Xenopus tropicalis: one gene and its partner. The protein of the gene in region 2 interacts with the protein of the main gene of each other region in a pairwise test. Links are inferred from orthologs where the notes say so. Each region holds a gene or a part of one and is shown on either strand. Other genes may lie near its edges.

What was found. The genes of interacting proteins can lie anywhere in the genome.
Region 1: the proteins of trim9 (region 2) and vasp interact in binary tests that used the Homo sapiens proteins (3 or more experiments, as listed by UniProt). The two-hybrid records come from large-scale screens. The link is inferred for Xenopus tropicalis from reciprocal best matches to the Homo sapiens genes TRIM9 and VASP.

The regions. Positions count from the first base shown.
Region 1 is NC_030684.2:70,569,470-70,575,072, reverse strand, and holds part of vasp (vasodilator-stimulated phosphoprotein), read left to right. Parts: intron 1-1,369; coding exon 1,370-1,538; intron 1,539-3,489; coding exon 3,490-3,550; intron 3,551-5,163; coding exon 5,164-5,201; intron 5,202-5,502; coding exon 5,503-5,603. UniProt on the Homo sapiens protein: Ena/VASP proteins are actin-associated proteins involved in a range of processes dependent on cytoskeleton remodeling and cell polarity such as axon guidance, lamellipodial and filopodial dynamics, platelet activation and cell migration.
Region 2 is NC_030684.2:96,141,100-96,146,702, reverse strand, and holds part of trim9 (E3 ubiquitin-protein ligase TRIM9), read right to left. Parts: intron 5,597-5,603; coding exon 5,458-5,596; intron 1,091-5,457; coding exon 980-1,090; intron 1-979. UniProt on the Homo sapiens protein: E3 ubiquitin-protein ligase which ubiquitinates itself in cooperation with an E2 enzyme UBE2D2/UBC4 and serves as a targeting signal for proteasomal degradation.

The DNA of each region.
Region 1 (5,603 bases), about 26 Mb from region 2:
TTTGGTAGAAGTTTTGGCAGATTTTATTTATCTTTTTGTTTTTGAGCCACTACCTTGCCCCTCTCTTGTGGGGCTGAATAATTTTGAGAACAGCATATGTATGTATGTGTGTATATATATATATATATATATATATATATATATATATATATATATAAATACTTTTGCAAACCACTAAATTTAAAAGTTTTTATGTTTTAACACTGCAAGCATTATGGACTCACATTTGTGTACCAAATGATAGGATATGTATGTTTTAGGGCTGTGACACGGGGGGACATTAGTCGCCACACGACAAATCTCTGTTGTTGCGGTTGACTAATCTCCCCGAAATACCATCCCACCGGCTAGAATGTGAATCGCCGTGGGATGGCATACGTGGTGCCGCGATTTGCAGAGGAAACTTCTGCAACTTCGGCAAATTGCGGCACCTCATATGCCATCCCACCGGCGATTTACATTCTAGCCAGTGGGATGGCATTTTGGGGATTCGGGGATTAGTCGCCCGTGACAAGGGAGATTTTTCGCAAGGCGACTAATCTCCCTGTGTGTGACAGCCCTTAGCCTAAAAAACAAATAAAACCAATAATTATCAAGATATAAATTAATTCCATTAATTTAGAAACAGAGTGCTGACCTGGAGGTAAATGATGGGGAGGCATAATGCTGTTGGGTGATATTCAGTAAGAATATTTTTCTTCCCCCACCCCCCTTGTTACACTGCAAGTCTGTGAGGGTTTGTTTCATGTGATTTGGTGCAGCATGTTTGGAATACTTAAAAGCACCCCAGAACTTCCTGTGCAACTACAATAGCAATTTCTGTTTTAGAAAGGTTCAGAGGCTCAGAGAATGTAACTTCACAGGGAAATATGTTTGGCTATTAAAGGGGTTGTTCACCTTAACATTCCCTTTTAGTATGACATAGAGAGTTATATTCTGAAGCAAATTACAATTGGCCTTTCATTTGTGTTTTTTTAACTATTTAACTTATTCAACTCTCCAGTTTGGAATTTCATCACCTGTCTGGTTGCTAGGGTCTAAATTACCCTAACAACCTGGCAGTGGTTTGAACAAGAGACTAGAAAATAATTAGAATGGGACCTGAATAGAAAGTAAGAAAAATTAAGAATAAGAAAAGTTTTTGGATCAGTGACCCCCATTTGTCAGCTAGAAAGTCAGAAGAAAAAGGCAAATAATTCAAAAACTATAGAAAATAAAAAATAAGTTGAAAAGTTTCTAAGAATTGGCCATTTTATAACATATTAAAAGTTAACTTAAAGGTGAACTACCCCATTAAAGTTTGGACATGGTATTAGAAGGAAATCAATTTACCCAACACGTTTCTGCACTCATCTGGCTCTTGTTATAGGTTGTTATAAACTGCCCACTGGTGAGAGGTCTAAAGTACAATCAAGCCACCCCCAACTTCCATCAATGGAGGGACAGCCGTCAGGTGTGGGGTCTGAACTTTGCCAATAAAGAAGAAGCAGGGCAGTTTGCTGTAGGAATCACACAGGCCCTGGATGCACTGGAAACTGGTAAGATAAAGAAACATACAGCCATTTGATATTAAACTACTCTTCCCATGATCTCCACGCAAGATCTTGGATATTTAAAGTTTAGCTAAAGTTTTCAGTGGAATGGTTTGTTACCCTCTCGGCTTAAATGGCAATGTACTCCATTTCAGGTCAATTTCAGTTCCAACAAATAGGACTTCTGTTCTGGGTAAAAAGGGAAAATCAAGTTACTCCATGTTTGGTCCTTACTAAGTAGATTACCTTTGAGTGCATAGATAAATCCCTGCATAAATCCTGAAAATCCACTTATGTACCTTACAAGGGCCAAACATGAAGTTCAATTTCCCTTCTAAGGCCAGTGCCATACGGTGCTGATTCTTGGCCTGTGTCTATGCTGGCATCAGCCTACTACCTTACCTGCATCTGCAAGCATTGTCTCCGCCGGGGGGCAGGCAGACGGTGTGGATATCACCCAAAAGATACAGGAATTCACATTTACAGCTATCTGCAATGTCTGGCTGCATTTGGACAGAGAAAATGCTTTCGGGTACAGGCAAGGTAGCAGGGTGGTGCCAGGGTGTTCTGCAGGCTGAGAATCAGTCCCATGTGGCACTAGCCCTCTAATAAGAAGTCCAGGCTCACTTCTGTCAGTTTGTGAGTTTAAAGATGATGCACTATTGCAGCCTTAGGACACTAAAACATAGAATTACAAGCAGTGGCAATAAAAAGAAAATGCCTTCTGTTCTGTGTGGATTGCTGCCATCTGATATTAATCATTAAGGCAACCCTTTTGTTTTAGGAGTAAGAGCTGACTAAAGCTGTCCGTACAAGTGGCGATCTGACGATGTTTCGTGCGACCATCGGTCACACGAAACATCGTCAGATCCGCCACACACCGTCAGGGCTGAAACAGCAGATAAGGAGGTAGAAACAATAGGATTTCTACCTCCTTCTGTCGATTCAGCCCTGACGGCAGATTTTGGTCAGGCGCCTTCTATGGCGCCCGATCAAAATTTTCTAACCTGGCCAATCGGCGAGTCGACCGATATCAGCAGCCTCCTGCGATATCGGTCGACTCGCCGACATGCCATACACGCACCGAATATCGTACGAAACGAGGTTTCGTACGATAGTATCGGTGCGTGTATGGCCAGCTTTAGTATGTGCCCTTTATGTGATCGAATCACATAAGGCAGCCATACGTACACAAATATTTATAACATTTTTTACTTTCCACTTTCCACCTGACATTGTAATTATATATACATGGGTGGCCTATGGACTGATCTGCTGGATCTTTGGCATTTTACATTACATTTGTGTTGTCACTGCAAAAAAATCCAGTTGACTGTCACACAATATGACCTTTTAAAAATCCAGTAACTGACCTTGTTTTTGCAGAAATCAACTTTTGAACTTATGTGAAATTGCATAGACTGAGTTCTAGGGTTTAGAGCACTGCAATGGCTAAAGAAGAGCTGCTATTTAAAGCAATTTTATCATAGTTATATGTATGTATGTATGTATGTATATATTTTATTTATGTGTATATACAGGTATGAGATGCATTATCCGGAAACCTGTTATCCAGAAAGTTTCAAATTATGGAAAGGCCATCTCCCATAGACTCAATTATAAGCAGATAATTTTGATTTTTAAAAATGATTTGCACCTTGATCCCAGCTAAGGTATAATTAATCCTTATTGGAGACAAAACAATCATAAATAAATATACAATCATAATAAATAATTTTCCTGGGGACTTAAGGCTTGGAGATCCAAAGTACGGAAAGACCCCTATTCAGAAAACCCCAGGTCCCGAGTATTCTGGATAAGTGGTGCCATAACTGTATTAGTAAATATTTATTATTAGCATATATTTCATTTTCCTCTCTTTCTGCCTCCTCTCTGATTCCTCTCAGACATGTGTCTTTTCATATTGCTTCAGCTTCTCTTAATTTCTAAATAACAGGTGCCAGTACGCGGATTCCTCAAAATGGCCCAAAAGTTGAAGAGCCTGAGCAACCCAGAAGGTAAGCTAAGGCTGCACAGTTCTTTTTTTATATTACAGATCCTGCATATTTTTCATTATGACCTGACACTATCTATCTATAGGCCATAAATCTCATGTGTACATTGGGGCTAACTGGGTAAATTGTTTTGTTATTGTGCCTAAGACCATGTAGTCTGTAGCAGGGAAGCTGCTATTACTGTTTCCTTGAATAGGTTTTAATGTGTTTTGGATCAGTAGGATTTATATAAATCATGTTAACAGTAATAAATAAATACCTCCATGGTTCAAAGTATTATTATTATAGGATCTAGTTTGATGGGAGAGCTGCAGACACAATCCTGAGTCTTATCTACTTGTTGCCCTTGTCACCGAAGAAGGGTAACCAGGGCTAATAAAAAGCCATTGATTAATGCTATTGGGAAAAATGTAAAAAAAAATGTTAGAATACAGCTCTGCTACAAGCCACCTCTGCAGCTGCAAATTATTAAAGGGGACCTGTCACCCTAAGAAATAATTCCAAATTCTTTTCTACCGGGTAAGTCAAGCATAATAAACTTCACTTACACTATATAGCAAGCAGGCAGGTGCCATTTTGTTAGTAAGGAAAGCATTGCATCATGCCAAAATCCAAAAAGTAAAAGATATAATTCCTAGAGAGAAGTAGCCAACATTGCTTATATTCCTCTTTCTTGCAGACCTTTTCTTTTTAAACATGTGACAATCCGTGCCAGATTTCTTATTCGGACGCCCCAAGGCCGCCCCCATTCTTCGCCCATACCTCCACCCCCCCCGTTGCTAGCGCACACATTTAACTTTACATACGGAGCACTGGGGAGAGGTCCCCATTGCTCCGTATGGGAGCTAAATTTCAAAGATTAGGTGTGGCGGGGCGGTGTGCTGCCCCTATATCTGTGCCGCCATAGGCCCAGGCCTTTGTAGCCTCGCCACAAATCTGGGTCAGGTGACAATAAAGAAAGGCCTGGATTTTTCTCCAGCCAGAGTCTGTTTGCAAAACTAGCATTTAAGACATGAAAGCATATTGTATTACTTTGTGCCCAAGATGCATTTGCTCACTTTATTACCAAAATTATGTTTATCTGTAGACAAGAGAAATAAGAAAGGTTGTTAAACAGCAACTGAACAGTGGATGATGATTAGGCCAATGGCAACAATTAAAAAAATGGCAATGGAAAAATATGAAAATACACCTTTAAATATTTCTTATAGACAAATAAAAAACTAAGGCATAGCAGCTTTTAAAAGTGTCGTTCATGTTAAAATAAATGTTACTTCCATGATGTAGACTGTAATATTCTATTACAATTTGCAGTTGGCTTTTTTAAATGACTAGTGTGTTGTTCAGTAGCTCTCCAGTTTGGCACTTCAACAGATATCTGGTTGCTAGAAATTGTTGTGGGCTGCTGGGTCAGTGTCCCCCATGTAAAAGCTGGAAACAAGCAGAAGAGAAAGCCACATAATTAAAAGAAATGATTTTCCTCAACAAACCTAAATGTGAACTACCCCTTTAAGTATTAAAAGATTAGAGCTTTGAGCTGCTCTTGAAGTACAGGGTAAAACACTTTGTAATTCACTTGCTTTCAGATATCCTTTATATATTTCCTCTACTTTCAGGGTGCAACAGGAAATTGAGCAGAGGATTCAGAGCCCAGGTAAGGGAAATAGGGGCCGTTCGGCTTTATAGCTTGTATATTTCCCTTTTGCTGTGGGTCCCAGGGCAGAACCTTTATTGTGGCAAAAGATACCATTGCAGAAGTGGGAAATGTGTGGGTGTATATGTTTTTAACAGATTGTTGAGGTATTGAGCTATCTGCACATTAAAAGGCCAACTTTGGGATTTACAGATAGTAGTTATTGTTAGAGTATAAACAATTATTATACTATATACCATTATAATTAGTTTTTAAATGATTGCCCTGCTGAGAGTATCTTCTTCTCTTTACACTCTTCCAGTTGCCCCGGTCATGCCAACTCCTGCTCCTGCTGCTCCCCCTGCACCACCTGGCCCACCTCCTCCCCCAGGTCCACCACCACCACCAGGGGGCCCCCCAGGG
Region 2 (5,603 bases):
CTCTCCTGAAAAGCTGTCTTAGATTTGCCGCTGTACCTCTTAGAAATCCTGCGCAAAACTGTGTCTTGCGAACAAAGCAGGGAGCTTGGAATAACATTACTTCGGTAACGTATGTAGGCCCCCATTTAATCCAATGAGTGGGGGGAAGTCAGGGGGGGGCATGGGGAGCTGTGGGTCTGCATTTATTCAGGAGTTTAAATCAACGAGTGGGGGAACTACATTTTGTAAAGGAAAGCTGCGGGTCTACGTTCTGCCTGATTATGAGGTCTGTAATTTAAATCAACAAGCAGGGAAAGTCAGCGGGGAATTTGATTTTGGAATAATATCACAGGGAAGATCAATGGGAGAAAAGCTACTGGTAAGCACTTCAATGCATTCTATGTGACAAAAATGCAGAGAAAACCACCCATTTTTCGCTCAAAAAAAATTGGAATTAACTTACATTTTGAACAGAAAAAAATGCAGTAAAAAAAATGTTTACAAATTTTTCAATGTTTTGCTAATTTTTTGCAGATTTGTTCATTACTATGTAAACATTGGCCCATGTACAGTCAGCTTTAGAAAATAGAATAAAAGCATTTATTTCTTGTTCATCGTCCTCATTCCTCTATAAATGATTGTATCTATACGCCCTAAAGACTGATCATTTAGGGTTTCTAAGAGATCATGCTCTGGAAATTATGTATACTATATATATAGTAAGTTACATAATAATACACTCCATAATACCAGCCAGCAATGCATCTGTAGTAAATTTTCTATCCCCATCAAAACAACTATAATTTAAGGCCTTGGCCTTATGTGACCCACTAAGGCATTTTATCCACCCCCTTTCAGCATTCTCAAGGGCTTACACAGACGTCTCAGTGTCACACCATTATTGCCATATAATCCTCTCGGCAAACCTCAGCCAAGCAGCCCAGTCTATACAATATGTGAACAACACTAATCTAAAAACAAGAGGCAAATGAGCCATTACCTGGAGAGCCACAAGATTCCTGTTCTGCATGCTGAAGGAATTCAAGTGGACTGGGAATGGAGTTGACTTGCAGTCGAGCTGCAAGTGTAGCTGACATTCTGCGAAAAGGACCTGGGTAGAGACAATATAAAGGAATGTGTGTAGGTTCACACACAAATAGAAATATGGCAGCATCACAGCACAAAGACATAGCAGTGGGCTGTAAGGGAACTGTGTAATACAAAACCCTGATGTCAGAACTGACAAGTGACACAAACATGACAAGCTGACACATATGAACTACCCCAGCATAGCAGGAAAAGCTGTCACCCCTACAGAGAATAAAGGAGCAATATACGCACACATTCAGCTGAAGCCCAAAAAAAGAAGTCTGTGCTGTAAATGTGTTCTGCTCATATCTTCACAAAATCTCTCTATATAGACTAATTTAAACTGTGTTCCTGGGGGTCAATGAAATAAAAGTTGCCAAGCTGGGCCCAAGTATAGTAGCTCCTTAATAAACAATCAGAAGGTCACATTTATGTAGCAAACATCTAATTGGTTACGTTGGTTTGCTAGACCTGGTACAAACTGTGCTACCTTTATGTATCACCTCTATTAAGCATTAAATCTTTTTGTACTTGGGCTCTGTTAACCAAATATAGTACCATAGTGAATACACCCATGGACAGTGGGCTCTGTATTATTATTTCCCTTCTTTACTGTTTGTGCTCTCAGGTGAAATAAATGTCTTTGTTACATAAAGAAAATGAACTGTAAAGCAGAGCTACTTAGATTTATCCCCATCCATCACTACCGCCAAAAAGCTGAGGAGGAAGCAGTTAGCTGCCAACTCAGTCTGAAAGAGCCAAAGTGGCCACCTTTACTATTAAAAAAAATAACATGGTGTATAACAGCTTATTCAGTTACTATATATTATAGCCTATATATATTTAGGCTGTAGGATGTGTGGATATTTGGAAAATATATATGTAGAACTGACCAAAGGAGGGTTGTGCAAAAAGTCTGGATTTTCATATCAGTTCTGGCTGAATGTATTTACCACAGGTTCCCTGTGCCATATTAAGAAGACACAACATTGCTGGCTTAGGCACTTTGCAAAAGAAGATGGGAACTTCTTTAACAGAAGGAGTAAGCATTTTGCTCATGATAATGGATAGCACACTGAACAGAAATATAAAAGCAAAAATATCACAGCATTCCATGAGTTAACTTATTGCAGGAAACCAACAAAACCAAGAACAGCCATAAACCATACTATGACTAGAAGTCCAGAATATACACGATCAATCGAAAACACATCACAGAAATTTAAACATGTAAAAGAACCTACAACCGCAAGAAAACATCACTTAAATATGCACACAGAAAACTGTGAATAGCACTTGTTATGTGCTACGGTATCCGGAAGCTACGTATACAGCAACAAAGAATGGAAGGAATGCATAGAAAACAAGAACTGGGCTGAGTATTGGCCCACAGGCAAACATAATAACATGGAGTCATTCTGAGAAAACACTGCCATCTGTTTAAGGGTTCACTAGCCCATGTGCTGTTTTTTGTCGCATTTTCCAGATATATGTAAGTGCTTATAATATTGAAAAAGGGACACAAATGTAAATACGGTAAGTAATAAAGTAAGTAGGTAATCAAACAGAATGACTCGTGGTGAATTCAGCCCATTTCCATTTTCAGGAGATATGTTGTAGCAGGGATCCCCAATCTTTTATACCCGTGAGCCACATTCAAATGGAAAATGTGTTGGGGAGCAACACAAGCATGAAAAAAGTTCCTGGGGGTGCCAATAAGAGCTATAATTGGCTATTTGGTAGCCCCTATGTGGAATTAGAGCCTATAAGAGGTTCTGTTTGGCTTTACACTGGGTTTTATGCAACCAACTATTGCCTCCAAGCCAGAAATTCAAAAACAAGCACCTAGGGGTTGTTAAGCAACATGTTGCTCACGAACCACTGGTTGGGGATCACTGTTGTATATGGTATATGTTGATAGCAACCTGGTTGTTGGTGACTCCTGGGGGCCTGGTGTGATGATGTACATCTGCGTGGACGATTAGGGCAATGACACAGGGAACTACTTGTAGTCAGCTACTTGTCGCTACTGACTGGTAATAAATTGGTCCTTAATGGGGCTACACATACATAGCTACTAAACTAACATAAGGTATTATATTGAATAATAAACTAAAATCTTGGTTTGCCGAGTGCAAGAGATTATCTTGTCACTCAAATGAGTCCCCAGAAATCCCAATATTCCCTTTGTTGTGCAAGCATAAACCTGGTGGGCCATTATTTCTCTATGCATTTTATCTATGTTTCCTCTAGGATTCCAGGAAATAATTCCACCTGTTAGAGTCAGTTCTTTCCTTCTGTAGTAAAGCCACACAAACAATAAAGCAGACAGCTACACTTTCAGTTGTACAGCACATAGACAATACAAGATAGCTATTCCTTTAAAATTGATACCTACAGGAATAAGTATGCCTTTTGTTGTAAGCAGCAGGACTTTCTTTTCCATAATACATTACAGATACATATGTCCATATGACAGGACTTCACACGACTGATGTACACAAGTTTATTACAACATATACAGGTTGAATATATATATATATGTATATTACATATACAGGTATATTGTAACACTCATAATCAATTCTCGGCAACAAAATAAAAACACTTCTATTTTAAGGCATTTTGTTTGGGGCAATTTATCTGTTACCCTTTACATACACCTACTGTAATGCACCAATGGAACAGATGCCACCCCCACCAACTGAACATATACTGGTCACTTTGTACAGCCCTCTGTATACTTAATTCAATCCTTTTATTTTATATTAGCTAGATGGGCTCCATATAGTGGCCTGGGTGATGATCCTGTAAAAAAAAAACTGGGTAAAGAAAAGGCAGACCGCAAGCTACTCTGATAAAACATTGTTTGCTGATAAAAATGTTCCTTCAATGAAGTATCATACTTTTTGAATTGCCTATCTTTTTTGAGATTTAGATTTGTTCTATATTTGTCCAGAATTGGATATACTGCCAAACAAGAAAGCACAGAACCACCATTAAAGGAGAACAGCAGGACTCCCTTGTCATGACTCTAAGGTACTTGGCATCTTGATGGCACCTTGCTGTGTGTGCAGTGGGATGGGAGTAGCATCAACTAGAAATAATACTTTTCTTAATATTATTCTTTAACTATACATTGTACTATAACATACATTTACATTTAATGAATCCCAACGATAATCTTACACATATTACTTTTTTTAAAAGATATTTCCCTTAAACTTGCCCATAAAAAGAGACCTACATATAACATAAAAGAAACAAGAAAATAGCAGGTGTGTGCAAACAGATGGTAAATGACATTTTATCATGGTGATTTAAAGCTTGATGAGTTTCTATTTTTGATTTAATGTAAGAAATGTAATAGACTGGTGTATTTTTAGTAGCTATTAATGTGTAAAATTCCACTTCACTCTACTCTTCCTGATTCAGGTGACTGTACTGCACAAGAAACAGCACAAAGAGGAGGTAGGGTGCAGGATGCATGTAAAAGGTTTAGTTACACCAACATTGAAAATAGTAAAAATGAAGATATTATTTCTCTAATTTGTGCATGCCCTTGCCAAGAATATGAGTAAGGACTACAATTCAAATTTTGGCCAAATACTACTTCAGAAGATTGGTACTTATCTCTACACAAAATGATGGGTGACAAAAAGTGTTTTAAACAGATTGGTAATTAATGACACAGCAGGTAAACATAACATAACAGATAAAGAGCATAGTTAAATACAATCAGTGTCTTTATGCACACATTTTTTAAGTGTTTATCCATCTCTGGGAGGGATCCCTAGCTTAGACTTTCTCTTTAGGGCTCTGGCACACGGGGAGATTAATCGCCCGCGACAAAACTCCCTGTTTGCAGGCGACTAATCTCCCTGGATTGCCATCCCACCGGCGAAAATGTAAATCGCCGGGGGATGGCATACATTCACTGAAATCGCGCAAGTTGCCTCGAGAGGAATCTATATTTTTGCTGGTGTTAGAGGCCTTTTACCTCATTATACACCTCAACATTAAGGCTTGTTCTTAAGCATCATTTTTAAACAGACCCTATGTAGAAACAGTACATTCTAGGATTTTAACTAGCATGCTTTCTTTCTTTTCTAATTGTTCTATGTGTGAGCATTGACCAGGCAAATGCCTGTAACTTCTAAAGGGGTTCCATAAAAATCTAATTTGAAATTGTGACGTTTAAAAGTACATTTTCATAAGTTAGTACTACCACTATTGTCAGTCAATGACTACAGCAGACAAACAAAGGGCTAAGAGAAAGTAGCAAAACAAATGTTTCATACCATACCAGCATATTCATAGTGTTGGCAAGATAATACATAGTGGTCAAGTGCTGCCCAGAGACAGATATTGCCATATAATTTCCATTACCTTCAGAAGTCTGCAGAACCAGTGTCTTGCTGTATAGGCTGACCCCTGCCTTGTTGAACGCTTTCACTCGTGCATTGTATGTGCTATTAAAATGAAGGCCATCCACTGTGCACATTGTCTCCTTCCCAACAAAGACTTCCTGTGAA